Saccharomyces cerevisiae S288C: one gene and its partner. The protein of the gene in region 1 interacts with the protein of each later gene in a pairwise test. Each region holds a gene or a part of one and is shown in the gene's direction. Other genes may lie near its edges.

What was found.
Region 2: the proteins of GDI1 (region 1) and YPT53 interact in a two-hybrid assay, tested with the Saccharomyces cerevisiae proteins (2 studies listed by BioGRID).

The regions. Positions count from the first base shown.
Region 1 is NC_001137.3:435,446-452,096, forward strand, and holds GDI1 (Gdi1p), read left to right. Parts: upstream 1-4,170; coding exon 4,171-5,526; downstream 5,527-16,651. Other genes in the region: YER134C (Mg-dependent acid phosphatase), read right to left, coding at 1,822-2,358; YER135C (uncharacterized protein), read right to left, coding at 2,507-2,899; YER137C (uncharacterized protein), read right to left, coding at 5,928-6,374; YER137C-A (gag protein), read right to left, coding at 12,257-13,579; YER138W-A (uncharacterized protein), read left to right, coding at 14,029-14,133; RNA polymerase II subunit B1 CTD phosphatase RTR1, read right to left, coding at 15,118-15,798; EMP65 (Emp65p), read left to right, coding at 16,120-16,651. UniProt on the Saccharomyces cerevisiae protein: Regulates the GDP/GTP exchange reaction of SEC4 by inhibiting the dissociation of GDP from it, and the subsequent binding of GTP to SEC4. Plays an essential role in the yeast secretory pathway.
Region 2 is NC_001146.8:440,707-456,547, forward strand, and holds YPT53 (Rab family GTPase YPT53), read left to right. Parts: upstream 1-9,161; coding exon 9,162-9,824; downstream 9,825-15,841. Other genes in the region: PLS1 (Pls1p), read right to left, coding at 91-213; PHO23 (Pho23p), read right to left, coding at 660-1,652; 40S ribosomal protein eS7 RPS7B, read right to left, coding at 2,692-3,120, 3,466-3,609; YNL095C (uncharacterized protein), read right to left, coding at 4,206-6,134; phosphatidate phosphatase APP1, read left to right, coding at 6,905-8,668; YNL092W (S-adenosylmethionine-dependent methyltransferase), read left to right, coding at 10,165-11,367; NST1 (Nst1p), read left to right, coding at 11,702-15,424. UniProt on the Saccharomyces cerevisiae protein: Required for transport in the endocytic pathway and for correct sorting of the vacuolar hydrolases suggesting a possible intersection of the endocytic with the vacuolar sorting pathway.

The DNA.
Region 1 (16,651 bases):
TTGGGTTTTATTTAACAAATAGGTTCCCGAGAAAAAGTTCTAATATTTTCTATTTACCCAATAGTACTACCCCATCAAATAATAGAATCATAGTAATTATCAGTAACAAAATATACAGCCCTCATCAGCAATGTAGTCTCAACAACTGCCCCCAGAATTCACCGCTTTTCTTCGATCGTCAATATGGAAGTGAGGAAACTCGGGCTCACTTAAAACGAACTGCATGTTTTAAAATCATTATCCATGCAAGTGTGGCATAAAAGCCGTAGTTAGATATATCTCAAACGCGCAAAAAGTTAAAAAGAAAGCCCTGTAGGGGGCTCGAACCCCTAACCTTATGATTAAGAGTCATACGCGCTACCGATTGCGCCAACAAGGCTCTTATTGTTGTTTTTCTGATTCTTATGGAGGGATTAGAGAGCAAAGTAAAGTACTTATATGTAATTTAACATTCGATGAACCGCGGATAATTAGTAATATGAAATGGGTGATGTTCATAATGTAGAGAATGTGGATTTTGATGTAATTGTTGGGATTCCATTGTGATTAAGGCTATAATATTAGGTATGTAGATATACTAGAAGTTCTCCTCCAGGATTTAGGAATCCATAAAAGGGAATCTGCAATTCTACACAATTCTATAAATATTATTATCATCGTTTTATATGTTAATATTCATTGATCCTATTACATTATCAATCCTTGCGTTTCAGCTTCCATTGAAAACGATGACTATTTCTCATCATTTGCGTCATCTTCTAACACCGTATATGATAATATACTAGTAACGTAAATACTAGTTAGTAGATGATAGTTGATTTTTATTCCAACACATAATTAGAATTTAAAAGGCAGTATTGGTGAAGATTGAACATTAATTTTCTTATGCTTATATAATAGAGGTATGAACACACGCATATAGGATCATTATATAGTTATGGCTAGTATTATCATGGCTCTGGTAATTTCATACATTTGATGTCGTCACGACTCATATTATTTGCTCATATATATAACTTCCTCATATATATAACTTCCTCATCAAGTTCAATTAATAGATCTTTAGTTCAAATTCAGAACATTCTGAATTTGTCGTTTAACATTTCCTTCTGCAAGAGTACATTCACACTGGAACGTATACGAGGTGTAAATTGGTATACTGTTGGAATAAAAACCAACTATCGTCTATCAAGCGAGGCGCTGAAATCCTACTATTCGCTCGAAAGACCGCTGAACGCAGGAGATTCTTTTTTGATCTTGAATATCATTTGAGTATTTTTGTTCTACATTCTAGTTTTAGGAAAATCATCAATCTATGGCAGGAATCAATAGTGTTGGAATAAGAAATGCATATTTGCCTGCGAAAAAAAGTTATTCTTTTTTTTTGGTTAACGTAGTTAAACTACTCTGTTAAAAATAATGGGTTAAGGTTCATGTTCGTCACATAATGTTTCGTACACTTAAAATTCAAACGCTATCAGTAGCATTACAACGTGTATGAAGATCATTGGAGAAAAGCAGATGGTTAAGAGCTTCTTGCACTGAAATTTGAAAATATTTGTCTGAACTTAGTAGTGAAAAGTGGTGAATGAACCAGGTTTTTATACATAGATATATGGTTAAGTTATGAAAACTCTTTTTGGAAGAACAAATTAGTACAAAGGCTGAGGCGGATTGGTTAAAGTTTTTAAATTAAAAGTGAGCTTCTATTTTGATAAATCACAAATATATAATTTTTAACAGTGATGTATCATCTTCCCATAAATGTAATGACTTCTTCTTATGCTCAGATGATGCTCTGTGAACTAAGTGCGCAGTCCTTCAAACCTTTCCACTCAGGTAATCTTGATAAAGTTTCCAAGATGGTCCATTCTCTGGGTCTCTTACATAAACAAACTTCACTCCGTATTTCTCCACTTCTTTGTTTCTACTTTCATCATCAAATAAACAAATCTTTTTCGATTTTAAATCGCTGGTATTATAAAGATCTTTCAAACCGTCCCTTAAATGGCCAATTTTACTTCTTTCTCCCCACTGAAATTCATCGAACAGGTTGGCCAACGGGGTTACGACACCAGCATACTTGACCTTGAATATTTTCAGTATTTCCTGGGCAATCTCAGGTGCCCACGTTCGTGACGCGGTCATTAACTTAACTCCATTATCTTTAAGATCACCTAGTATACGTGGGATATCTTTGTAGATTGTGAGCTCGTAACCATCTCTACATATAATTGTGAGAACTTCGCCATTACTACTTTTAACTGGCTTAAAGGGACCGTGCAAATGGGTATCACAATAGCAGGGCCAAATGGTGTAGTCCAAATCGAAGGCGGCCACGTCAGGGTATCCAGTCATAATAAACGCGTTGAGACTATTTTGGAGCAGGATTTGTAACAAAATTGTTCTCTTTGTAAGTTTAAGGACAAAAATGCTTGTTTCTCGAGAAGGTCTCCTTTTCGGCAGGTCCTTCTTCTAGTGCGTGAAAAATATTCTACTCAATCCCTTAGTATTCTTTGTAAACAATACACTTTAAAGAAATATGAATGCTTATCTGCTTTTCAACAATCATTTTAGAGTTCTTATTCACTGAGGTGCGAATGGGTACGAAATTTGTTTCAGGAGAATTTAGCTTGTTGCACACAAATTTCTGCCATTTATATCTGCAAGATCTGTTTCCCTCTTTCCAACTAGCGAGGCATATTAGAAAAAGAGTGAATAGTAACTTGTGTAAGTTTTGATGTAACGGTAGTATAGAGTACCTATAATATTCGCCGATTATATTCTCAAAACTTGTAAATAACGCCATGTCACCGTATGGAGAAAGTGCTAACCAAATTGTAATATCGACCAAGACCTTTTTCTGTGAATTATGTAAGTTTCTTAAAGTCCATGTCATGCTTGAAAGATTTTAATCAACCTTGCATTTGTGGTCGTTAAACTCAAAGGGGATATTCAAACGACAATCGACAACTAACTTCGAATAAACTAAGATTCACTTTATTGGGATATAATCAATTACCCTTCATTAAGTGGTGTATATGTTCCTGACGTATTGTCATTTTCGGGATAAGAGGTTTGATGACTATTTCTCGATTTTCATGTCATCCTCTTTACACCGTACGTGATAATACACTAATTACACGATATAACTGAGCAATGATATTTTAGAGCTTCATCTCCACAATTTCATGTGTAAATCTTAAGAATTGTAGATATATTCTATTTTTTAATGAAACTTTTTCAACAAATTAGGTTTCGTGGTCTAGTCGGTTATGGCATCTGCTTAACACGCAGAACGTCCCCAGTTCGATCCTGGGCGAAATCAATTTTTTTTTTCGAAAACGTTATAATTTACGTTAATTTACAAAGGGCATTCCTTTCATACTAAGCAATGTTTACTTCCAATCTCTTGAGACATCTTCGAAACTAGTTGAAAAGAGACAAATCCGCTTAATAACTAATAGTTACAAGAATGGCCAATCAAACTCTTGCCAAGCGATACAAGCTTTACAATCCTGTAACAAAAACATACTTTTAGCGGTTCCGACGGTATTCTTCTTTTTCTCCATATATTTTGCTTATGTTGGCTACTTTAAAATAATTACCGCTTCCCCCACCAGAAACTAAACATGAGCTAAAGGCGCAAAACTTAAAAAATTACATAGCCAAGACTGTTTTCAAGAAAAAAATATCAGACCACATTTGATAAAGTACATACCTCTGTTAACTCCCGTAATACACCCATATTCTTGTACTTTCTACAATCTATCACTCAAACTTCTCTATTATCCAACATCTGCTGTTGCATAGTAAAGTAGGCCGTAAACGCTCAAAACCGTTATCTTTAGGTTACCCTTATGTTTGAATCGTTTATCTCACATTGGCGGTGTTTTCCCCTCTCCTGTGGGCTCCAAAATCTTGGCCGTGGGAAGCTTCAGCGAGGGATTGTAGATGTAGTTTCAACACGTCGGCTGATTTATCCCGATTTTGTTAGTAGAAAAGGTTCTACTTCATTCTTGCTTGAGACGTCGTCCCATCAAATTTCTAACATAGTCTTTTTTCAAGGAAGGATATTTTTCAAAGCAGGACTGCAATTAGTCTTTTCCTTTTCTTTACTCCCCTTCCATCATAACTGTTAGTGAATAACCACTTATATAGCATAACACAATGGATCAAGAAACAATAGACACTGACTACGACGTGATTGTCTTAGGTACCGGTATTACCGAATGTATCTTATCTGGTTTACTCTCTGTAGATGGAAAAAAGGTATTACATATTGACAAGCAAGACCATTATGGTGGCGAAGCTGCTTCTGTGACCTTATCTCAATTGTATGAAAAATTTAAACAAAATCCGATCAGTAAAGAGGAACGGGAGTCCAAGTTTGGTAAAGATAGAGATTGGAATGTCGACTTAATTCCTAAATTCCTGATGGCCAATGGTGAGCTGACAAATATTTTAATACATACCGATGTGACCAGATATGTCGATTTCAAGCAAGTTTCTGGCTCCTACGTTTTTAAGCAAGGCAAAATTTACAAAGTGCCAGCTAATGAAATAGAAGCCATTTCATCGCCATTGATGGGTATTTTTGAAAAACGTAGAATGAAGAAATTTTTAGAATGGATTAGCTCTTACAAAGAAGATGACTTGTCCACTCATCAAGGATTAGACTTAGACAAGAATACCATGGATGAAGTGTATTATAAATTTGGGTTAGGCAATTCTACCAAAGAATTCATCGGTCATGCAATGGCTTTATGGACCAATGATGACTACTTACAACAACCTGCTAGGCCATCGTTTGAGAGGATTTTGTTATATTGCCAAAGTGTTGCCCGTTACGGTAAATCACCTTATTTGTATCCTATGTATGGGTTAGGCGAACTTCCACAAGGATTTGCTCGTTTGTCGGCTATTTACGGTGGTACTTACATGCTAGACACTCCAATTGATGAAGTATTGTATAAAAAAGACACAGGAAAATTTGAAGGGGTCAAGACTAAGCTGGGAACTTTCAAGGCCCCATTGGTTATTGCTGATCCAACTTATTTTCCCGAAAAATGTAAATCTACTGGTCAAAGAGTTATTAGAGCCATCTGTATTCTTAACCATCCAGTTCCGAACACCAGTAACGCGGATTCTTTACAAATTATTATCCCACAAAGCCAACTGGGAAGGAAAAGCGATATATACGTTGCGATTGTTTCAGATGCGCATAACGTTTGCTCCAAGGGTCACTATTTAGCAATTATTTCTACAATCATTGAAACTGATAAACCACATATAGAATTAGAGCCTGCTTTCAAACTTCTGGGACCAATCGAAGAAAAATTCATGGGAATTGCCGAATTATTTGAACCAAGAGAAGACGGCTCTAAGGATAACATTTACTTATCCAGATCATACGACGCATCCTCTCATTTCGAATCCATGACTGACGATGTTAAAGATATTTACTTCAGAGTAACAGGCCACCCATTAGTTCTAAAACAAAGACAAGAACAAGAAAAGCAGTAAATTCATACCTTTACGACTAAAGCAGCAATTGGAGGGTAAACTTATTTTTTCCGATAATGTTCTTGGCAAATGAGTTACCAATAAATGACATGAATTACAGAAAACAAGAAAATATTTGCCAAAAAAAAACCAATACAAAAATATAGGGGAAAAGATTATCCTTTATTCCTTTCTCATTCCACTTTTTTTTTTTGTTATATGCGTATTCTGATTGATTCATAACTAAGTATCTTTCCTTTTCTTTTCTTTCAATTTCTTTTTTCCATATATAAATACATAAATTTACATACCTTATGTAGTATAATATATGGAAGAATGCTACTGAACACATCAGTACACATGCTATGTACTTACAATCTTAGTAAGGTAGATGTAGGTCTAATGCTTCGATGATCCCTTCATTATTTCTTGGGTATAACTGTCAGTCTCGCACCGCAGTGTGCCCTTGTGTGGCCAGCCTCGTGACAAAATGAACATTTTATCTTATTTTTTTTCTTTTTACTACTCTTTTTGCTGGTTACTCCCTGAATAGTGCTCGTAGTTTTATCTGCCTCTTCCTTGGCTTTAATCGGTATCAGGGCATATTTTTGATCGTCTTTTTCCATGATCTCTATTCCATTCCGCAGTACCATGTCAAGAACACTAGTATTCATCATACTTCCCACAGTGCTTTCATGCAATCCCAGTAGTAGGTTAATGAATTTCTCTAATTCTTTCAACTTATGCTCGTACTCAACTTGTAATTGTGATCCATCTTTTTGCTTTGAAATGATCAACTTAGCCAGGACATCCATAGCTTGTGACAATCTGACTATATCATTTTCAGTCTTATTTGATGATTCACACATTCCTTGTTATAACAACCCTCGGTATTCTTTTAACAAACTTACGATGACTATATTGTATTAGTGTCAACCTCATCGCCAGGAACTTTTCATTGAAAATCTTCTGACAAATTTTCTGTGTAAAGGAAAGAAAATGGAGTATAAAATCGAAAGTTTATTCCAATTGTGCTAGGCTGTAATGGCTTTCTGGTGGGATGGGATACGTTGAGAATTCTGGCCGAGGAACAAATCCTTCCTCGCGGCTAGACACGGATTGCACGCCCTTTGGGCAAGGGATAGTTCTCTATTCCGCACCGTGCCCTGTTGTGGCAACCGTCTTTCCTCCGTCGTAAATTTGTCCTGGGCAGAGCTGTCTGCCCGGAGGCGGGAGAGTCCGTTCTGAAGTGTCCCGGCTATAATAAATCGATCTTTGCGGGCAGCCCGTTGGCAGGAGGCGTGAGGAATCCGTCTCTCTGTCTGGTGCGGCAAGGTAGTTCTGGGTCCTTAGGGGCTCCACCTTCACCGCTGTTAGGGGAGTTTTATCCAGCGTCAGCAAAGGTGACCCGTGATGGAGGCGGCCGGGATAGCACATATCAGTCGGATAATTGTGCAAGTTGATCGCTTCGGCGGTTTAATTTGGCGGTGCCATCAGGATTTACTCGCACATTGTGGCCGTTCCCTCGGGGATGGAGTGTGTCCTGAACCATATTTTTTAACATTTTTTTGAACTAATTAACCGTCCCAATGAGGGATGTTGGAAGAGTAAGTTGATTTAATGTCCTATTCTTGTTCTTTTCGAATATAAATGACGATTGGAAGGTGCATGTCAATGTTTATCATCATGTTCTTGTTGTAGGTAGTCCTTACCTTGGTTGTAGAGTGAGTAGCGACAGGCGGCAGCGGAATATAAGAAGGATAAAATGAGAATACTTAGAACGTGTTGAAAGAAGAATAAACGATCATCCATCGACTAGTACTGCTGCTACTAGTGTGCTGTCATACTACTAATATATTATCATATACAATATAAGAAGATGTCATAAACATTGAAAATAGTCATCAAATCTAATGGAAGCTGAAATTCAAGGGTTGATAATGTAATAAAATAAAGAATGACAAAGTATAAAAGGAAGAAGATAGAGTAACATTATTATGTAGAGCTATCAATTCGCTTTTTGTAGATTCCTATTTTTTCTCGAGGAGAATTGCAGCATATTCGTTCCACGTAATATTGCGGCCTTTAACAACAATGTAATTCCAACAATTATCTTAAAATTTGTCTATATTTTTAAAAAAGTATGAACAATTACCAACATGTGGTACATATTGGAGGCCCGCAAAGCTGAGTTGGCATTCATTCATTCTTTAAGTTGAACAAAAAGACAAAAAGATTTTCAAAAAAAATATGGTCTCTAGCGGGATCGAACCGCTGATCCCCGCGTTATTAGCACGGTGCCTTAACCAACTGGGCCAAGAGACCAAATTTTAATGAAATACTTTTACTGGAAAGAAGGTAACAAACCATGGAAGATGCTTTTCTACCACCCATGAAAGTCTGAGATTTTTATTAATGATGTTGGAATAAAAATCAACTATCATCTTGAGAAATGGGTGAATAATTAGATAATTGTTGGGATTCCATTGTTGATAAAGGCTATAATATTAGGTATACAGAATATACTAGAAGTTCTCCTCGAGGATATAGGAATCCTCAAAATGGAATCTATATTTCTACATACTAATATTACGATTATTCCTCATTCCGTTTTATATGTTTATATTCATTGATCCTATTACATTATCAATCCTTGCGTTTCAGCTTCCACTAATTTAGATGACTATTTCTCATCATTTGCGTCATCTTCTAACACCGTATATGATAATATACTAGTAATGTAAATACTAGTTAGTAGATGATAGTTGATTTCTATTCCAACATACCACCCATAATGTAATAGATCTAATGAATCCATTTGTTAGTTAATAGTTTAAATGTTTTTATCGGAAGAGGTTTTGTCATCACATCAGCAATGTTCTTCTTGGTCTCGATGTAGTATACGTATAAATTATTACCTGATACTTCATCTCTAAGTCTCATTGCCTTTGTGCCAAAAAATCTGTTTCTAAATTTCTCTTCATTTGTAGACTTAATTATACTGATCGTTGATCTACTATCAGTAAGTAAGCCTTTAATAATTGGTTTCTTGTTAAGTTCTTGTATCAGGTAACTTAGATTATTTAATAATGGGACAGATTCACTTATCGCGTGTATTTCTGCTTCCGTAGTTGAAGTACATGTTAATGAAGCCTTGGTGGACTTTCCTCCAATTACCTTTCCATTAAGTAAATATATGTTGCCAATTTGTGATTTATAATACGGTTGGTTGCCATACGAAGCATCACTTATTGCGACTAGTTTATTATCTGGCTCGGTAGGTTTGTTTTTGTGCCATATCAGTTGTTTATCTCTAGTGTCCCACATGAATTGTATCAACTCATATGTCATGTCTAAAACTTGCCTAGAGGGGAATAGTATATGTTGAGCAAGTGTGTTGATGTAGTATAGTAAGTCAAATCTAAATTTATATCCAACATATGAAGCTAGACCAATCAACTTTTGCATTTCATGTACCTTCTCTTTGTATTCATCTTCATCTATTTCTAGTTCATCCTGGTCTATATAAAGACCTGGTTGACCTGGAGCGCTAAGTTTTCTTCCTTTTGGATTCAAAGGTACGTTTAATTTGGGTATTTTCTCAGTTAATGAGTTTTCCATACCTAATTTCATGTATTTACCTCTTTGATATTTGATTTCTAAGCCAAGTATGTCGTACTGAATTTCGTTATCACTTTCACCCAGATTTATTATCTTTGTATCGTATTGTTTCTTGAGTGTTGTTATGATTTTCTTATTTGCATTTAAGTCTTTGCTGAATAAAATCATGTCGTCAACAAATAAACATATTGTTACTTGACTATTCTTAAATACGCATGACCATCCACGAACTTCTTCCATACCACACTGTTTTATCAGGTATGATTTGATAGTTTCGTACCAGTTCGCTCCACTTTGTTTCAATCCATAAAGTGATTTCTTCAAACGTATCAACTTATCATTCATTCCTAAATGTGGTGGAGGTCTTATGTATAATTCTTCTTTGATGTCTGCATACAAATATGCCGAAGATATGTCTAATTGTGTAATATAGTAGTTATTGTCTAATGCAAGTGACAGGGATGTCATTAATGCATAGTGATGTACGGTATTGGATTGCATGCCTGAGTCGTAAGTGTCAGGATGCTGAATATCACCTCTTGCAACAAATCTAGCTTTATGAGTACCGTCACGTTTCTTGTTGAAGATAAACATTGAGTTTATTACTCTTTTAGGGTCTATTTCTTTTCTGTCATAATATTCGTCAGTGTCCCAAGTTTTCATCTTCAACAGTTGATTGACTTCTTTGTGGTATGCCTCGATATATTTTTCTTTTTCTTTAATATCTTTATTATAGGTGATTGCCTCATCGTATCGTAAGGTTGTCCGTATTGGTTTGATTGATTTTACTGCTTTTACAGCTGCAATCAGGTGAATTCGTTTCTTCGATCTCGGAGGTTCTAAACTACGCATATTCTTAGTATTCCATGTGTCTCGTGATACCTTAATTTCAGTTTCATTATCTTCTAATGATCTTTTCTTACTGTTGATAGTAGTATAGGCATTAGAGTCACCAATACCACCCAAACTGGAATTAGTTTGATGAGAATTTATCGGTGGGAGTTCTTTAAATGGGTCAGGGAATTCGGTAGGAGATTCTGGAGGTAGATCAGGGAGTGGGAGATCAGCGATGATAGATTCCTCGGTATTCTGTTCAGAAACAGTAGTTGGCGTTTTGATAGGAACAATATTGTGCGATGAATTATTTTCCGGTGGAGAAGCATCGATTGAAGGTGAACGGTGTATAATCCTTTTCTCAGTCTCTTGGTCACTTATCTGCGGAACAGTTTTGTTGTTGGTACCACCCGTACTGGATATTGGTACGTTTGTATGATTAGTCTCATTTTCACTGTACGAGTCTGAGTGTCTGAAATCTTTAGATTTACTGGCGTGCGACGACTCATGTGTGTTAGATTGGGACATGGGAGCAAGTAAAGGAACATTTAATTTATGCATACCACCCGAACCGGTACTCTCGATATTGGAAATTTGGGGGGTGCTAGATCTCTTCTTTGATGGAAGAATATTAGATTCAGATATGTTGGGGTCAACTTCTCTGGGTGCGCGAATATTGGTTTTAGAAACACGTTTCGAATCTTCAGTATGAGTTGACGGAGGTGTGGAATCGGTTGGACTCACAGCTTTTGAAAGGACATTTCTCGGTTGCTCAGGATGTAGTTCGATGTCAGATTGGAAGTCATGGTCAGATTCTATGTTAAGATCATCGGATTGTTGGATCTCATTTGACGCAATGAACGATTGATATGAAGCAGTTAAACGGTTTAAGTCTTCATCGAAAGTGAGTGCGTCGTAATTGAATTGATCTAATCTGGATTCCTTGCCCTGAAGAATAACATAGTTAGTTGTATCTACTGTCTTCTTTAAGGATGGAAGATAGATGATATATCCATAAGAGTTTCGAGACGGATGTAGAGCGTAGCCTGGGATGCCACGAGGATGTATTTTGGAGTTAGGGTTGTGATCATTGACGATAACAGGTTGACCGAAAGGTAACAAAGTACTGATATCAAGTCCTGCCAAGCCAGCATGTTGTCTTGCAGATTTTTTGCTTTTAGGTGAAGCTAGTGAATTTCTCACAATAGTAGAAAATTCGATTGCAGAGAACCATAAATGGTTCGGTAAACCACTACATTGCAGTTGAGTACGGCAGTCATCTAATAAGGTACGGTTGAGCCGTTCAGCGACTCCATGTGCTCGGGAATCCGCTGTGGTTGTATAGCATGGAGTTATACCATTTTTTTCAAGGAATTTATGGAGAGTTCTGTTAGTATACTCAGAACCACGGTCCATTTGTATAACCAAGACACTGGCCTGAAACTGGTTCTTAATAAAAGCTAGTATCGTAGTAAAAACATCGAGGATAGAGTCCTCGCGACGGTCGTGTAATGGATAAACCCAACGGAATTTTGTTGTCTCATCAGTAAATGAGATGAAATAGGATGGTGCACTTTTTGGTAGGTTGTGAACTGGACCAAATATGTCAGTATGTAGGTATTGAAAGGGTTCGTATGAATTTTGGTATTTTAGTCGTGAACCTTTGATATGTCTGTGTTTGGTGCTTTTGCCGATTAAACAATCAGGACATTGATAGTCAATAGCACTAGACCAGTCGACATCTGATTCGTTAAAATACGTGATGGTGTTATTTTTAAGTGAGTATCGAATTGTCTGTGCATTGGCATGTGCAAGCATTCGATGAATGAAAGGATAAGGATATTTGCGTGTACTTTCACTTGTATGGACATTATTGATGGTGGGTACGGAGATATTTGATGGAAGCAAGTACTTTTTAGATACCCAGTAAAAGTCTCCATATTTTACGATAGGTGCAAGTACAGTGCCGTCAGATCGTTCTAAGACGTTTTTGGTAAAGCATGCTGTGATATCTACTGCAGCCAATTCATTCAAACTGAGTAAGTCATAGGCTATGTTAGGAGTGTGCAATACCTTTATTGATGTTTTGGTGTTGTCCTGGAAGTGAAATTGTAGGTCACCAATAGCGTTAATTGGTATATTTCTTTTTTGAGCATCAACTACGTTTATGTCAGGATTAGATGATGCTGAGTGTATGTGATGAGCAGATCTTATAAGGGTTCGTGATGCTCCTGAATCGAGAAGGAGGTGTCCAGGGAGTTCATCATCAGAATGATTAGTGTGATTTACCGTAGATTCAGTAAGTTCCTGGCCTAAGGTGAAGGTCGTGCTTATTGTTCAATTGAATCGGTTCAGTAGTTGATTTACTGATGGAATCGTTGTCCGTGCTGGGAGAGTTATTAGATGTGGATACATTGTGAGCCCTGGCTGTTTTCGATTTCGAATTATTTGTTTTTTGAGGATTCCGAGCTATAACTTTGGGTTTGGTTGTATTCGTATAGCTGCGAGAATCATTCTTCTCATCACTCAGATTTCTCCTGTAATTAGGTTTGCTGTTTCTCGATCCCTGTTGTTCTTCATAAATAGCATGGATATCTAAGAACAGTTCAGCGACTGTCATATTTAGATGTCGATGACGTGTGTAGCGTAAAAATTTATATTCGCCAGATAGACCTCTCATAATTAATTGGCATGCGACCTTGTTATTGATATGAATGCCATTATTGTTCAGTCTGTCGATAATGTTTGTGACTTTTGTTTCAAATGCATCTGCAGGTGTACTGCCATTATATTGCAAATTTGCCAGGGTCACAATGTCGTTTGCCTCTTGGGTATCAGATTGCATTTTTTCAATACTTTTGGAAAGAATTTTCATGATATCCGTATAATCAACGGATAGGATGTCTTTGACCCAGGTAGGTAGGAATTGAGAGGGAGCAAATATTTGAAAAGTGTTATACAAGAAGGTGAGTTCATCATCAGTGATCTGACGTACGGGTTTTCCGTTTACTGTCGGAATAATACCACCGAGATTCGAGTTTTGTAAAAATTTGATGTATGTTTTAACCCAATTTGGAAAGTCATTAGGTGAGGTTAACATTGGTGGTGGTCTGACATATTTTTTAGTGGATGTCATATCAGAGTCCGCTGAGGATGAATCAGTAAATGTATTACCTGACTCAGGTGATGGAGTGCTCAGAGGCGTTCCAACTGATGATGGATACTGCGGAAACTGTGATTGTGGCCCAGGTGGAAAGTACATAGGCGACATTTGATAAGGTGTATACGGAATCATAGATGGGTGTCCGTAAAATGACCAACCAGATGGATTGGCTTGGTTTTGGGTCATCATGCACTGCTGTGGGTACGGCCCATTCTGTGGAGGTGGTACTGAAGCAGGTTGAGGAGAGGCATGATGGGGGTTCTCTGGAACAGCTGATGAAGCAGGTGTTGTTGTCTGTTGAGAGTTAGCCTTAGTGGAAGCCTTCTCACATTCTTCTGTTTTGGAAGCTGAAACGTCTAACGGATCTTGATTTGTGTGGACTTCCTTAGAAGTAACCGAAGCACAGGCGCTACCATGAGAAATGGGTGAATGTTGAGATAATTGTTGGGATTCCATTGTTGATAAAGGCTATAATATTAGGTATACAGAATATACTAGAAGTTCTCCTCGAGGATATAGGAATCCTCAAAATGGAATCTATATTTCTACATACTAATATTACGATTATTCCTCATTCCGTTTTATATGTTTATATTCATTGATCCTATTACATTATCAATCCTTGCGTTTCAGCTTCCACTAATTTAGATGACTATTTCTCATCATTTGCGTCATCTTCTAACACCGTATATGATAATATACTAGTAATGTAAATACTAGTTAGTAGATGATAGTTGATTTCTATTCCAACACATCTACTAACTAGTATTTACGTTACTAGTATATTATCATATACGGTGTTAGAAGATGACGCAAATGATGAGAAATAGTCATCTAAATTAGTGGAAGCTGAAACGCAAGGATTGATAATGTAATAGGATCAATGAATATTAACATATAAAACGATGATAATAATATTTATAGAATTGTGTAGAATTGCAGATTCCCTTTTATGGATTCCTAAATCCTCGAGGAGAACTTCTAGTATATCTACATACCTAATATTATAACCTTAATCACAATGGAATCCCAACAATTACATCAAAATCCACATTCTCTACAAATGAAGAAACTGCTTATAGTCAATTGAACGATTTACCGGTATTTTAACGCCATTATATATATTAGTAAAAAGATGGCGTATATTGATGGACTAACAGGGTCAAATAAAATCATGAATTGACTAGTATATACTTATAAGTATATCGTTCTACACAAACTAGGAAGATGACATACATGATGAGAATTGGTTATCAAATTCCATGGATGCCGAAACGTAAAAGATTTACTAAATAGTAGGATAATTATTGATAACATACAAAACAAAAAAAAAAGAGACAATATTATTATCTAGAAGTGTCGACTTCCTTCTGTGGGTTTCCTATGTTCTCGAAGAGAGCTTCAAGTGTATTCTATAAACTAAGAATATTAGTTTAACGAAAGATCGAAGTCAGACACCTATCTAACTTTCATTAAATTATCACACAAAAATCCCACATACTCTCGTCTTGCTAAACAAATAATAAATTGAAGGTGAACGATTCTTCTTGCAGCGTCCTAGCTGTTGGGTCGTCTTAGATAAATATCTACTGTTCTGAATTGCCAAATTTTCCTTCTATTGTATCCATTCGATGCTGGACGGCCAGTTCTACCGTTATTGCCCAAAAGGAAGGAACGTCGCGATACTTCAACACATTAAATACTTGTTGATTTTCGAACCAAAACTCTGAAGCAACACTTTCGTATATGGATGGCCCTTCAGAGAAACCAATAGGTATGTAAAGAATTGCTACGTGGTGACTCAAAGTGAATTATAGCAAAGTTATAAAAGCGCTACATTGTAGAAAATTGAGAACCACATTTTGACATACACGAATAACAGTATTTTTGTCCTGGCGCTGTAAAGTATTTTAAGTTATGATGATGAATTAACTATTTTCAGCCAATGAAACGTCCATAATCTGTTCTGAATTTAGGTGCATTGATATAGCCGGTCAATCTTCCCTTGTGAAATCACCCAAAATGCTGGGATTATCATTCTCAACAATTTTGATTTGTGCCAACCACTTCGATAAATCATCTTCCAGCTCAGTATCATCTTTTTCTGTAGTCCCACTGTCAGGATTTAATCCTAACTTTTTGAGACCGGATATCAATGATTTAATGTCTTCTTCGGATGCCTTTTCTCTTAGCAACTCTTCAAACAAAGTCACTTTGAAATCTATATCGTGTTTGTCCTGTTCAGGATCTTCAAATAGGTGAACCCCTGTTCTTGCAAATAAAGCTTCATCAGATAGTTGCACTTGATAAAATTGGGAACATCTAAAATGGAACTTACTGCAATAGTGCGACAAATATGCATACGGATTGTTTTCTAATAAAAATTTCTTAGTAGTATCATTCATTGAAAATGGATCACGTATTCTTTCTGGCGATTTACCGCAAAGAGGATATCCGCATCTTTTGTTTAGATTCCTCTCATCTACTAGGTCTTGATACATATCCGGTGTGAGAAATCGGCCCAAATATTTCAATGTTTTCTCATCCTTGCATTCTGAATCACATAATAAGCCTATAATCTCTAAAGTTATAACTTCTGCTTCATGCATGGAAAGTTGCCTGTGCTTTTGGAAAGGGATTAACGCCGTTTCCTTAATATCTTCAATCGTCGCCATTTCTTATTCTTGTTAACTTCGTCCTAATTTTTCAAACTAAGATGCCGATGTATAGATATTTTAGACTGGGAATGTTTATGAATTGTTCAATTCGCTCCTCAATGTGTCTCTTTCTTCACTTTTCCATTGCTTTTGACCACTTCTGGATGCCAGCTGATTTTGTATTGTAGTATTCCTATTTCGGACAAAAATATCGGAAAGAGATGAAATAAGAAAATTAGTTACTTTTAATATCACGATGCTGTCTCTGAATCGACCTGATCGATCTATAAGGTGTATATATTATTCTACCGAGTAATCCAAAAAAAAAGCAGCACTCCCATGCAACACAAGGATACGGCAGTAGCGAAGGACACAGCTAAAAAACGTTTACTGAGAAGAAATAGTGCGCCGTCAGCTATACATATAATTTCACGATTAGACAAAAAGTGGTCCTTCCTATGGAATACTATAGATAGACACAATATTGTTGAAGAGCAAGATGAAAGTAGCGCTGCAAAAAGCGAAGAAGAACATGAGGATGATTATGAATTGGAACAATTACTCAACATGATAAGAATACCAATGTTCCTGGAAAAGTTCATGCTCTTTGCACTTTTAACAAGCTTGGACTGTTTTTTGTATTACTTTACTGTATTACCGATACGACTGATAAAGGGATATGTAAAGCAATTCAAGAGTTATCGTCAGCATTATCGCCTGCAACAACGGTCTGGGCATAAGAATAAAATACCCTTTCGATATAGAATAACTTCAAGAGAATATAAAGAGAGATGTATGATTTTTATCATCGTGATTTCATCCATTTTGTTGAGCAAACTAGACACCTCAAAACTATATCACAGGATAAAAC
Region 2 (15,841 bases), on another chromosome or scaffold:
GATGAATAAAATGGAAAAAAAACAAAAGCCGGATTGCGTTACGCTTGAAATGAGCGATTCTAGGCGATAAGAGAAGACAACGGCTAAAACTTAAGATGTTGGGGTACTATAAATGTTTACCCAGATTTTCGGTAGAAATGTTTGCTGATGTGAACCTTGTTTCCCGTTTTCCCAGATCCCCTTATTCCAGCTTTGTTTCGTCTTTGCTGTCATGTTCCGTTTAATTTCTGAAGGCCTGCCTAGCTTCACCGTCCTAAATGTCACGCTCCAGGCAGAGACATGGCGCAGGGGCGAGGCCAGGGGCAAAGGGGTCAGGCAGGAACCTCCAAGGGGGGCGAGGTGAATGAAAAGGTCCTTCTGAATAAAAAGCCTAAGCGATTAGCCACACCACCCACTGTACGGCGATTAGACTGAGCTGCTGGCGCTGCTACGCCGTGACAAGTCATTTCATCATTTATTACGTTTTATCGTGCCGTCATCACCATCGATTTGAATATTTTATCTAGACCGGTAGGGCCCAAGTATCTTGCAGATCCATTGATACGGCCACGCCCGTTAAAACGCTAAGATATATATATATGTAGCTAAGATATATATATATGTATATATTCGGTATTTAGTAGATATTTCCTTAAGGCGATATTCGCCCGAGAGCTATTTCACAGTTTTTTTTTGCAGTCGTCGCAATACCACTTGCCCTTAGGTAGAGTTTCGAGTCCAATACATGGCAAATGGAACCATTCTAGCTCACAGTCTGCGCCATCACACCCCACCATTTCCCCGTATGCCACTTGGTTACAGTAGCAGTAGAGCGGTTCGCCGTAGTCGTTGGTTTTTGGTCTTGATATCCTGCTGTTGTTGCTGTTTCCGACGCTGCTAACTCCCCTGGACGCTGTAGATGTACCTATCCTGCCATTATTGACGGCAGTTGCCGTGCTGATAGTGCTTGGTGAAACGGCTGTGGTGGCAACTCTCCTCTTGCGTTTTTTGGTCTCTGGATCGGCGTTGTTGGTATTGGCAGCGTTGGCTCTTTTTCTTGAGTTTGTGTTGTTACCAGTGTGGTCTTGGCTCTCGTGCCTGCTGCCTCCGTAGTTTGCGTCGTTCTTTGAGTCGTCTTGTTGGTGTGTGCTGGCGGAGTAATGTTCGCCCTGCCTCCTGTTGGCAGCCATGGCTTCTCTTCTTGATTCGCTCTTCAGTGCCTGCGACGATTTGCTGTTTGATTTGCTCTCTATTTTTTCCATTAGTTCATGATGGAGGTGCATTGCTGGATGGTTGTCCACACCCAGTCTTAAACCTCTAGGAATTTCTGTGTTCTTGATTGCGACTTCATACGCCAATTCTAACCGGGACGTCAATCTGTCTAGATTATCCAGCATAATGGATGAGACATGCATTTTCTCCTCCAGCGATGGCATCAGTTCTTCATAAATCTTGTTGATATTATTGAGCAGTCTTACTTGTGTTTGGTGATCTTTATTGAAGTCTTTCTTCAAGAACTTATCTATCCTCTCGTTCAAATTCGGCATAGAATGCACACATTTTGCATCTATTTCGTGTAGTAATGTTAAATATCTGGAGGTGGCCAGTGGGAATTCCTCCAGCACGTCAGTTATGTCGTTTAATCCAGGGAATAGGTTCGCTGGTGAACTCATTTGTACGTATTTCAGACTATGAACGTGGTTGCTGTTTGTGATACTGCAAGACTACAAACTTTTCTCCTTCCGGGTTCGTCCTGTTGTAAACGCCTAACTCTTTTCCTTAGGCTCCTTTTTCGTTTTTTCCCTAGCTCTTTCTTTCTTCTTCATGTGCATGCACTCTTTCCTACATATTTTTTTTTCAAGGGCATTTTTAACTTTCTTCGGAAATCGTCTAAGAATTGTAAACTATAATTGCAAATACGCGATTAGCTCTATCTAGAATACCGAAAAAAAGGTTTGCCACTCACAATTGGACGTGCCTCAATTATTTCAAGTATACGTCATTTGGGCTTTTGACTTGTAAAATATACTCAAATGAAATTCTGATTATACAAAGTTGAAACACGTAACACGCCATGTCAAGGTACGCGTAGAGGTAAGCAGATAATGCATGGACAATGTGCTGGGCGAAGAGGCGGATCTAATTACACATACTTGGGATCATCTAAGATTTCAGATGGTTATGTTAATGCTCACTTGTTCCACGCCTTTTTCCTTTCCTTCAGATAAGTAATCCGCATATCAATGTGAAAGAACTAACGGTTGTTGATGGACGTATCGTTGTCTAGCGATAAATAATGCTTTTTCTTCAACAAATAAGTGGTTGTTTGGCCGAGCGGTCTAAGGCGCCTGATTCAAGAAATATCTTGACCGCAGTTAACTGTGGGAATACTCAGGTATCGTAAGATGCAAGAGTTCGAATCTCTTAGCAACCATTATTTTTTTTCCTTTTTATCTGATTGCAGCGAGAACTTGGGAAATCAACCCAATATGTATTCCAAAATGTCAAAACACCAATTAAAGCATCTCTATATTGACAGATACAAAATATATTTAAGTATACATTCATAATTATTTTACTCGAATTAAAAAAGCCCACTTTTTGGAAACCTCCTTTTGTATTCTCATAACTATGTTTCTTTTTTTATTATTTTTTCTTAATATTATTTTCTTTAAGTATGACAAATGATGAGAATGATAGTTATCTCACTATTTAGTTGGTCTGGCTTGGAATTTCAAAAACAATTTGTTTGCCAGTCAACTTGTTGTAGACAGCTTGGAAAGATTCCAACTTGTAGTCGATTTGTTGAACATCCTTGGAGTCTAACAAAACCTTTTGGATCTTGTTACCACCAACCAAATATCTAACTCTTTTACCGACAATTTCAGTTGGGAAAACCATGTCTTCCAAAACCTTGTCGTGAACAGCAGTCAAAGTTCTGGATCTTGGTCTCTTTTGGACTTGTCTAGATGTTCTAGATGGTTTTGGCAAGATTCTTCTTTCAGCCAAGAAAATAACATGACGGTCAGGGAATTTCTTTTCCAATTCACGGGTCAATTTGGTTTGGACCTTATGGTATGCAGACAAAGCTGGAACTGGGACAAAAAGGACTAGTGCTTTCTTACCACCGGTGACATCAATCTAAACAATAAGAATCAAGCAGCGTTGAAATAAAGTTAGTAACTGAATTGGTTCATTCATAACAAAAAAGGGTTTGTGATTCTTCTCCTTGGGGTAAGGTCTTTTTCGCGTGCTTCTATTTTATTCATCGATATTGGTACTGACCAAGGAGGCCTTTATAGTTCAAAGGCTCATCGCAACGTTCATGGTATTGACAGCTCTCGGAATTACTATTTTTCTCGAACACATGAAAATTTCATACAGATACTGCTCAAAATCACTCTTTTTTGAAAAAATTACTGCAAAGAACCCCTTTAGAAGAAATCACAATGTTGCTGCTTCCAAATTATATAACTTTTAACATACTTCTCTGATAGATTTGATTTGCAATGGTCTCAAGTCAGCCTTTAGTTCTGGAGAGGAGCTTTCTAGATCGATGAAGGTCTTGGCGACTTGTAATTCCAACTCACTTGGAGCTTGGGATAAGATCTTGGATTGGACAGAGGACATTGGTCAGTTATGTGTCTAGTCTTTAGTGTGTTGGTTTCTCTTCTGTTTGTATATACAAAGTCAAATAACACATATTTTAACCATAATCAATAGCATTTGGTATTTCCCCCTCCGCGTATTATGAACGCCTAGTGAGCCCATTCTTCCCTAAAGCCAGGCTGGAAACCCAAACTGTGTGGAACGTGACTGAATTGCATTTGGTGAGTTACCAAGCAAAGGCTCGCAGGCTTGAACCACATTTTACCAGGGCGCTCGCTTTTTCCGAAATATTGAAATTAAGCAAAACAATAATGTACGGATTTAAAGAGGTACGGATGGAGACCGTAGAAAATTGACTTTTTTTTTTTTTTTGTTATTTTCTGTGCCTTTCGTAACTACTACTATGCAGAATGACAGGTAGTTGTTGTTTCGAATTGCTACTTTCACGCATTCAACTTGATCAACATTTCTCTCTGATGAAAGGTTGTGGAAAGTTTGGTCGTGTCTATAAGTAGGTGTTTTTTATTAGTTCTATATAAAAATGGAGAATGTTAATTTTAACCCACCCTAAAACAGTGATTAGGAGTGGTAATAATTTTTTGTTTAATGGATTAAAACTAAAGGTTCATCTGTACTTTCAGAAAGTAAGACACTAAAAATGGCAAGCTAACAACCATTAGCGGGTATTGCAGCATTAAGAAAAATGAAACACACTCCATTTGGATTGGCGCAGTTGTTTCTGGCGGCGTAAAACTGGCGGTGAAATATATAAGGGTAGTCATCGTTGGCAAGTTCCAGCTGATTGCTATAACAAATAGTAGCATTCTATCATCTTGCCAATTAACCCATCCAGCTTTCACTAACCGATCACACCATAGGACACCAAAAATTGGCATGACACATTGTCTCAAAATGACGAGTGTCACAGCGGCTTTCCAAAATCCAGGATAAAGGTTGCCAATCTTTAATCTTCCTAAAGTTGCTCCTAATAATATCAACCCAAATGGAACACATGCGGCACCGACATAACCTGTAAAATCCATGAAAAAGCTTAATGGTGGTGCATTGTCAGGAGCTTGGCTTATGTGAGGAGTATTAGCGGTAGTCACGAACAAAGCCTTGACCCATGGGATAAATGCAACAGTTAGGGCGATGATCACGGCCATAGAGCACGGTCTCAAACAATTCTTTAGGAAAAACACAAGTAATGGAGTTAATGAAAATTTTCTCATCCACTGTGGTAATGATTCGCCGGATGTTTCAATATCCTTTTTACTTACAGTGGCATCTGATGTTAAGATCCTGGTTAGGTTAGCAGTTTTTATAGTCTGTAAAGTGGAATTTGAGCTAATTGAATGCACATCATTCATATCAGCGCCGCGTAAACTGGAATTCCTCCTTTGATGACCATACTGGTCAACGTTGGAGTACTCTCTGATAAGATGGTGTATATTTTGAGAAGGTAATGCACGCATATCAATGGAGCGGATAGGTTCCAATGCCGCCATAGACATATTTTTTGGGCATTTTTCATCTAAACAGTTCTCTTCTAGGAGTGTGGTAGTATTGTAAGCTCTCGGCTGGCTCGCGGTTCTACGTGCTCTCATAGTATCTATGCTACTCTCATAACTCTCTGACGTATTATAAGAATGTATTGTTGAAGCAGATGATTGGCTATCTAATGGATTTGAACCACGAGTTGCCTGTGACTCTTCGCTTTGAGTGCACGCAATAGTATTTCTTGCCTTCACCTGAACTGGTTTTGTAATCTTTGAATTCGAAGAAGTGTCTGGTAGTGACAGGGGAGCTATACTATTTGTTGATCTCCTTGAAATTGGTGGTACGTCTGCGTTTTCACCCTTTGTACCTATAGCTTCAGTGAGACTATCGCGAGCGGTGTACTTATTGTTGAAAAGCTGTTGTTCGTTTGAGAAGAAACGCTCGCTAGTATCTGTATTAGTTGTGTTTGCACTTACTGCGGGCTGTGTCTTTGTCGTTTCTGAAACCCTAACGGCGCTTTCATCGTCGTTGTACTCGAAATCGCTTTCAATCAGTCGAAACCCCCCCAAATTGAAAATGCAAATTAGAAACATTGTCAGAAATATAATGACGTTAGCCACACCTTTGTTACCTTCTTCTTCCGAAAATACAAGCCCTTGGTCCATAGATTGTAAATATGCAATTGGTAAATCACTTATATTTGGAAACATACCACCGGCAAGAATACCACCGTACCATTGTTTAGGAACAGGCAGGAATAGCCTAACAACGTATGCAAAAAAGAACCCAGAACCAAATATTAGGAGGGCAGACAGACAGATAATTCCCACAGATTTGATGTCTTTATCTTCAATATTAGCGACAATCTTGTTGAATGACAGAGAGGGTAGTAAAACTGTTAGCACGATATCAGAAATAATTCTTGTTGCTTCAACCGTAAGAATTCCCATTTTAGCCATCAGAAAGCCGACTCCTATAATCAAATAAATCTTGATTATCGGCTTAACTGACACCCATATCGCTTGACCCAGAGTAATGTGCACCATCTGATGAAAATTTGAGGTTTCAATCCCTTTCTCTGTTTGATTCTATAACTTCTCCAAAAAAATTGCGCTGACGCTAATTAGTCACTGTTTATATCTTTTTTAGCGATGATTTGTAACAATATGCCATAAAAGCGTTCTCTAACTGCGGAAGTGATGAGAATTGAATAGTTTTATTCAGAAGGCAATATATCCTAATATGGCACAAAAAGGCAACTTGTATGCACAAAATGAGCATAAGAGTTCAGGCAGAACGTTGTGCTCTTGATCCAAAGGTTAAAAGTCATCGAGTAGGAAGATATTGTAACCTTCGCGCAAACCGCAGCCGCAGCGGGTCACGTGGTCGCGCAAATGATGATGAGGGCGCGGTCTAACTTTCCAAACGAGGTTACCAACAATTCTCGGACAGATAAAGCATTAGAATAGGGTGGCAACGCCTTTACGGTTAGCTTGTTCATTGTGATTGGTTTGTGTATCTTTTCTTGGCTTTTTATGCCCACGAGACATAAAGTATACGAAGCTGTTATACTATTCGTGATCCAGGGCAAAAATTTAGCATCATTAAGGCATATATATCGCAAATAGTGGGTTGCACAAGGCTTTCAATAAACAGTGTCATATGTTTCTCTAGCTCTGTCGGTTTGTTGGCTATAAAGAGTTTGTCTAGTAATCGCCGTCTTTTCTTGGGACCATTAACACAGACAAGGACATTGAAACTTGGCTATAAGTTCCGTCAAAGGGGGAAAAAATTGCTTTGGAGAAGGAATAAAAAGATGAATAGTCAAGGTTACGATGAAAGCTCTTCCTCTACTGCTGCTACTAGCGGTCCTACTTCTGGAGACCCACGAATGGGTAAGAAACAACGGTTTATGAATCTCATAAGAACCACAAAGGATGTTTATATTCCTAACCTGACGTCATCCATTTCTCAAAAGACAATGGATGGCATCAGGAGCACTACGAATTCCTTCGAAGGTTATAATGACTTGCCTATGGAATTGCCACATAATACCACGATAACATATTTTCCAACGTATACCACAACTAATTTGGTTGACCCTGACGGTTTGAGTGCGCCTCGGAAAGATTTTGAAACTACTGTCAGATGTGCTGTTTCTTATCCAGGAAATCCTACAAGCAGGAGAAATAGGTGGTTGCTTTCTCTTTGTAAACAATATCTTAGAACTGGAACGGCGGAGGCCGATGTTGCACCTGTTGTTCCCCCTCATCTCGAAGAGGATTCTGGAGATTTAAACGACTCCCAATCAAGTATAGAAAGTTCTTTGTCTTCAAAGAGCGAAAATAGGTATTCACATATGGGCATCCAAGAGGAAGATGTTCTGAATGAGAGAATTCAAGGATTCCTGTCCAAAAAAGTTCCTAATACTCCAGTGGTGGTTGACCTATTGCCCAAAGATAAGCTCAGAGGGGATACGGCTTCCTTTTTTGGTACCACGGACTCTTATGGTAATTTACTAATCAAGGCAGAAACAGATTTTTTACCGTCCAAGATTAATATTACATTAGATACCCCTATAGAAGGCCATGCAGATCCCATATCTGAAACATTTCCGGCCAATTATGTCTCGCCCTACGGTATTGGTTTAATCAGTGATATTGACGACACCATCAAGCATACTGGCGTTACGGGTGACAGGAGATCGATGTTTCGTAATGTTTTCATCCATGATGTTCAATCGTGGGTAATAGATGGTGTTCCTCTTTGGTACAAAACTTTACATGATGTCGCAGACGTTGATTTCTTTTATGTTTCTAATTCACCCATCCAAACTTTTACTCTTTTGAAACAATATATTTGCGCCAATTTTCCTCCGGGTCCAATTTTTTTGAAACAATACTCTGGTAATTTCTTTTCCACTATCATGACTTCAAGTGCGAATAGAAAAATTCAGCCGATTGCAAATATCTTAAAGGATTTTCCCAAAAAAAAATTTATTTTGGTCGGTGATTCTGGTGAACATGACTTAGAAGCGTATACCACTACGGCTTTACAATTTCCGAACCAGATTCTGGCTATTTATATAAGATGTTGCTCTAATTCCATGAGTGATGTCCCATCGCATGATGAAGAAGTTATGAATGAAGTGAACAATATCATCGAATTACAACAACGGCCCATGCAAATGACCAAGTCTACCGTACGTACCAGGAGAAGACCACCACCACCTCCCATTCCTTCCACTCAAAAGCCATCGTTGACAGAAGAGCAAACCGAAAGTATAAGAATGTCACGCCGTAATAAAGATGAGAACAATGCTAAAAGAGTTGCCCCACCACCGTTGCCGAACAGACAGTTACCTAACTTAGACGCTAATACTTACTATGTACCATCCTCACAAAATGACTATGGCATGTATGGTGCTTTCATGGATAAAAAAGCAGATGAATGGAAGAGAAGAGTAATGGACTCAATTCAAAAATTGAGCAATCAAGACACCACATTGATGTTCTTTTCGGATCCGGCATTAAGTTTGGAAGACAGTATTCGCAGAATTAGGGAGAAGTATTCAAACTAAATACACTGTTATTTATATACATCGGGAGGGAGTTTAAAAATTGTATACACTAAAGTGACCTTATGAATTGGAGCCATTTTCAACGTTTTAGAGTGATGTTGCATCCTTTTCATCAGATCGGGAAATTAAAAAAACGGTTATAGAAGGGCTAAATGTAAATATGTAAATTTTATGAAGTCAAGAGTAAAGAAAATCTTCGGTTGCCGATCAAATACACTCTTACAAAATACCCTAAACTCAGTTTATCTTTCCATTCCAACTGATTATCGCGTACGCCTTGGTGACCAACCATACCCTAAAATGTCAATTTCCGGGGCGGAAGGGGTCCTTAAACTGCAAAGCCTCTTCCCATGTAAATAAAATAAATCCGTAGAATTTATTAAATATTGTCATATTATAAGTCGGGAAAGGCCTTCTGAATGCACGTATATTGACCAAATAGAGTTAGATTCAAATTATTTATTACATTTTTTCAGCATCGAAGTTAAGTAGAATGGATAAACATACAGCAGCTATTCCAACATTAACTATCAAAGTAGTCTTACTCGGAGAATCTGCTGTCGGGAAGTCCTCAATAGTCCTCAGGTTTGTATCTGACGATTTTAAAGAGAGCAAAGAACCTACTATTGGTGCCGCATTTTTAACAAAGAGAATTACAAGGGATGGCAAGGTCATTAAATTTGAAATATGGGATACGGCAGGCCAGGAGAGATTTGCTCCTTTAGCGCCTATGTACTACAGAAATGCTCAAGCTGCTTTGGTAGTTTTTGATGTTACTAATGAAGGGTCTTTTTATAAGGCTCAAAACTGGGTCGAAGAACTACACGAGAAGGTAGGACATGATATCGTTATTGCCTTGGTGGGGAACAAAATGGATTTGCTGAATAATGATGACGAGAATGAAAATAGGGCTATGAAAGCACCAGCTGTACAAAATCTCTGTGAAAGAGAGAACCTCTTATATTTCGAAGCAAGCGCTAAGACTGGTGAGAATATTTACCAGATATTTCAAACATTAGGCGAAAAAGTACCATGTCCTGAACAAAATACACGACAAAGCTCTACTCATGATCGCACAATTACCGATAATCAACGAATCGATCTCGAATCAACGACTGTAGAAAGTACTAGGGAGACTGGGGGTTGTAACTGCTAAACTGCAAGCAAAACAACAGCAAACGCGGCATATTCAGCGTCTTAGCGAAGCTTGCCATTGAAAAGAACAGTTCGTAACAACAGCTGGAAGAATAGTACTGGAAATTTTCAATTACTTTTGCAAAACAAGCACTTTTTTGTTTCACTTCCATTAGCCGCAAGAAATACACTTTTTTTAGGGGCGGGAATTTTCATCGCCAGATCGAGAATCACAAGGCCTTTACGTACTATAGTTTGTAATTTATACAAAATCAGCTACTGTTATTTTGGTGTACCAGCGGCAAAAATTGGTGAGGATCTGAAAATTAATTAGAGGTGAACACATATCAGTAATTTTGACTATGGACGAGAATGAATTTGATAATCAAAGGGAGAATAAAGCTGTAGCTCGAGTGATCATATCATTTCTTAAGTATGAAGAGTATGCCCTAAAGGAAATCTACAATTTGAGAGTGAAAAAATGGGCATCGATCTCAGATCGTCAAAAAGACATGGTACCAAACTATACAAAATATTTAGCTAATCTGAAAGCCGCAATTATAGAAAATGGCAAGTTCTTTAGAAGTGTCGCCGAATATGCCCTGCAATCAATAAGTTTTGAGCCAGGAGAAATCGTACAACCAAACGATTTAGATATGAGTAAAACATGCTCTTTACTTACGCAAGTTTATAGGGAGTGGTCCGCAGAGGCCATTTCTGAACGTAATTGCTTAAATTCGAGGCTTGTACCGTTTTTGAAGACCCTATCACCCCCAAAAGCCGACATTTTGATACCGGGTTGCGGCACAGGACGCCTTCTCGTGGATCTTAGCAGAATGGGCTATAATTGTGAAGGTAACGAATTTTCATATCACATGCTGCTTGTATCTCAATACATGTTGAATGCAGGATTACTCCAAAACCAAATTATTATCTATCCCTTCATACACTGTTTCTCCCACTGGAAAAAAATTGAAGATCAGTTGTCTCCCATTAAGGTGCCGGACATAGAAGCGTGGTCTTCAAATAAAGGTATGGGGTCCATGTCGATATGTGCTGGCTCGTTTGTTGATTGTTATGGTCGTAATCAAGGCACAAAAATCTCGTCACATTATACATTTTCGCGAAGGATGCAACTAAGTAGAGCAAAAGCTGAAAACTCCAAAGACGTTGTAGTAACAAACTTTTTTATAGATACGGGATCCAACATCTTGGATTATTTGGATACTATTGGCCACGTCTTGAAGCCAGGCGGAATCTGGTGCAATTTCGGCCCATTGCTTTATCATTTTGAAAATGACCATGGGGTTGAAACTACCTACGAAGTTAACCCTTACTCTGGGTTTCAAGATAAAATCAATGACTATACACCACTGATGGGTTTAGAGCTTTCTAGCGATGATATCATAAGCATTGCCACAAATCATCTGGACTTTGAATTAATACGGAGAGAGTCAGGAATACTTTGTGGGTATGGCCGCTACGCGGGTCCAGAAAGTTGCGCCATGCCTGGATACATGTGCCACTATTGGATCCTGAAGTCGAACCCCACCAATGAATCATAAGCTTACACAATAATCTAATTGCACTATATAGAAGTTGCTGACACAGCCGTTTTAGAGAACTCAGAATGTTACCCGCGCGGAAAATTCTTTTTGCTCCCTCTCGCTATGTTCTGTTTACCATATTGACAGTACTGGTTATCAGCCTAGATCCAGTAATACATAAAGCCCTCAATTTGAACTATATATCAAAGCTAGAAGAAGAGTGATTTGTCATAATTGATTCACTTTATAAGCTCCTTTATCGTTTCAGTTTCCAGGTGCATTTATCGCTTAAGGCCATTACTTTCAACAATAAGCAATCTTTATAAGTGAAAAATTGGGGAAATTGCCAAAGATGCCCCCAAACTCCAAGAGTAAGAGAAGAAAGAACAAATCCAAGCAACACAACAAGAAAAATGGCAACTCTGATCCTGAACAAAGTATAAATCCTACACAGCTAGTACCTCGAATGGAGCCAGAGTTGTATCATACAGAATCGGATTACCCAACTTCAAGAGTAATAAAAAGAGCGCCCAATGGCGATGTCATCGTGGAACCAATAAATACAGACGATGATAAGAAAGAACGTACGGCGAACTTGACTCATAATAAGGATAGTATGGATTCTGCTTCTTCCTTAGCTTTTACTCTAGATTCTCACTGGGAATCATTATCGCCAGAAGAAAAGAAAACTATTCTACGAATCGAAAAGGAGGAAGTATTTAATGTCATAAGGAATTACCAGGACGATCATAGTTGTAGTTGCTCTGTTTGTGGACGCCGCCATTTAGCAATGGATCAAGAAATGGAGCGTATATACAATACACTTTATGCCATGGATAAGGATAAAGACCCTGAAACCAATCCTATCAAATTCCACTTAGGCATAATAAAGGAGCTACAGATTTCCAAAAATCAACAGCAAAATGATTTATCTTCTACAAAGGGCGAAGTTGTAAAAAATTTCCTTTCGTCAAGTACAGTTGGCTCTTTGAAAGAGGAAGTGCTGCATTTCAAACAAAAGCAACTTTCAAAACAAGAACAAGCGCATAATGAAACGGCGGATAATACCTCATTACTTGAAGAAAATTTGAACAATATACACATCAACAAAACTTCTAGTGAAATTTCCGCAAATTTCAATTCTGTGAGCGATGAAGAGTTGCAACAAAAATATTCCAACTTCACAAAAACGTTTATTTCATCACATCCCAAAATAGCAGAGGAGTATGTACAAAAAATGATGATGTATCCGAATATTAGAGCACTGACTGATGACTTAATGAATAGTAACGGGCAAGGATTTCTTAATGCAATCGAAGACTTTGTGCGAGATGGCCAGATACAAGCATCGAAAAAAGACGACAGCATCACTGAAGATGAAGCATCTAGTACAGATTTGACTGATCCAAAGGAGTTTACCACAATGCTGCATAGTGGAAAACCACTTACAGAAGATGAGTATGCCGACCTCCAGCGCAACATTGCTGAAAGGATGACTAATGCGTACGATACCGCAAGTAAGAAATTCAAAGATGTGTCACAATTAGAGAAGGAGCTATTTACACGATTCATGTCGGGGAGAGACAAAAAATCTTTCAGAGAGTTGATAATTCAATCCTTTAAAAATAAATTTGATGGGGAATTAGGTCCATCCGTTCTAGCAGCCACTTTAAGCTCGTGCTTTTCATCTCAATCGAAGGATACTTCGTTAGATACTGATTCTATATATGAAGATGAAGATGAGGAAGACTATGATGACTATTCAGAATATGCTGAAGATAGCGAAGAGGTTTCTGAGTATGAAGGAATAGAGGCAGTCGAAAAACCAGAGCATGATGAAAAAAGCAACGGGATACGTGAAACATTACATTTAAGTTATGACCACGATCATAAACGACAGAACCACCCTCACCATCACTACCATAGTACCAGTACCCACAGCGAAGATGAACTGAGTGAAGAAGAGTATATTTCCGATATAGAATTACCGCATGATCCTCATAAGCACTTTCACCGCGATGATGATATATTAGATGGGGATGAAGATGAGCCAGAGGAAGAGGATGAAAATGAAGGCGATGACGAAGAAGATACTTATGACAGCGGTCTTGATGAAACTGACCGTTTAGAAGAAGGTCGGAAATTGATTCAGATAGCCATTACAAAGTTGCTTCAAAGTCGAATAATGGCTTCTTATCATGAGAAACAGGCAGATAATAACAGACTAAAACTTCTACAAGAACTAGAAGAAGAAAAAAGAAAGAAAAGAGAGAAGGAAGAAAAAAAGCAGAAAAAAAGAGAAAAAGAGAAAGAAAAGAAGAGGCTGCAACAGTTAGCTAAAGAGGAAGAAAAACGAAAAAGGGAAGAAGAGAAAGAAAGGCTAAAGAAGGAATTAGAAGAGCGTGAAATGAGAAGACGAGAGGCTCAAAGGAAAAAGGTTGAAGAAGCCAAACGGAAGAAAGACGAGGAGAGAAAGCGTAGATTGGAAGAGCAGCAGCGGAGAGAAGAAATGCAAGAAAAACAACGGAAACAGAAAGAGGAACTAAAACGCAAGAGGGAAGAAGAAAAGAAACGTATTAGAGAACAGAAAAGGCTAGAACAAGAAAAGCTACAGAAAGAAAAAGAAGAAGAAGAGAGACAAAGATTAATTGCAGAGGATGCGCTAAGAAAACAGAAATTAAACGAAGAACAAACATCTGCGAACATACTTTCCGCCAAACCTTTTACTGAGAATGGAGTTGGCAACCCTGTTTCATCTCAATCACATCCCAACATGACTAACTACCAAGAGGATAATAGTTGCAGTATCAACGATGAAATACTTAAAATGGTTAATAGCGTGGCTGCATCCAAACCAGTTTCACCCACAGGCTTTAACGTTCATGATCTACTTCTTCCTTCAACTAACAACCAGATGCCTGCTATGGAACAATCACACTTGCCACAGCCAGGTAATCAAAACAACCATTTTGGAACTACAACTATTCCGAATGCGTTAGACTTGGCTACAAAATCTTCTTTACAGACTGAAAACAACTATTTAATGAACTCACAAACTCTGGAAAATACAAGTCTATTGATGCATAATAATTCATCGCCAACTAAGCTATTGCCAAATGACTTTGGTTTATCATCTTGGGGTGGTCTGACAAATACAATGTCCATAAATCCTACATGTAAACCACCGGTTATTCAAACTTCAGAAATGGAATCACAAGCCCATAAATCTAGTCCTCAAGCTACAATGCCATCTTTTGGACTACCTAATGGTGGTACTCACCGTAAATCGTTTACCGACGAGTTGAACACTTTAACTAGCATGCTTTCTTCTTCCGGGTTCGCAGATACATCACTTTCATCATCAGGATTCCCCCCATCACAGCGTTCTGTGTGGAATGATCAAAAAAGCTCATTTTCGGGACCGTCGACTGCAGGAAACTTTAACAACAGCAGTATACAAAGCGGTATGCTGCTCGCACCTACATTAGGAAGCGTTGAATCGTTTCCAAATCGAACTTCTATCTGGGACAGCAGCACCACTCCGATGATGAATAAATCCGAGCTTTCCGGTCGCAATATAACTAGTACTGCGCAAGATAGCCCTGCGTTCATGGCATCAAATATCTGGTCTAGTAACAGTCAATACAATTCACCATATTTGACTAGCAACGTCCTTCAATCCCCTCAAATTTCGAGTGGAGTGGATGAAAGCCACATTCTGGATAGCATCTACAATACTTATTTAGCTATTTCCCCACAAGATAGTTTAAACCCCTACATTGCTATCGGGACACTATTCCAAAATTTAGTAGGACTTAACTTGGATTACTCGACGTTTATCAACAAATTGATAAGCATGCAAGGAGCCTACAATTGCGAATTCTTTACTGATAACAATGGATCCATTACCCACGTTCGATTTGCGAGACAAACTCCCGCTGGCCACTCAAAGGGGTTGCTGAATCAACTCTTTAGTGGATTGAACGATCCAACTGCTACACCATTTACGTCAAGGCCTCATACCTCCACAAGGGCTAGTTTTCCAATTGCCTCTTCAACTACGCAAACGTCTTAAATTTGCTCCGGTACGCAGGGCCAAAAATATTTACATACATACATAATTCGACGAAATTTCAGAAGAGACACTAAACAATCGTACATCTCTCTACTCGATGTGAGCCACGCGTCGGTTTTTCTTACCGTCGTGGCTTTAGAGGTGAGGCTGCGACACCCCATACATCTTACCCGGCATTTAATTTCCATTTTTCGCAGGAATGTGAATATGATAATAGACTTCGGTACACTCTTTTTTAGGTATAACATATATCAATTGTTCAACAACAATTATTCAAAGCGCAACTCTCCAAAGGTAGTTATTCTGATAATTTGAACCAAAAGTCCCCAGATTAAGTCTTAATTAAACTGCCCTTGCATACCGCTGTAAACGATTTGTGTGCAGACATCAATTGCTGAAACGTTCTGCTTTGGTTGT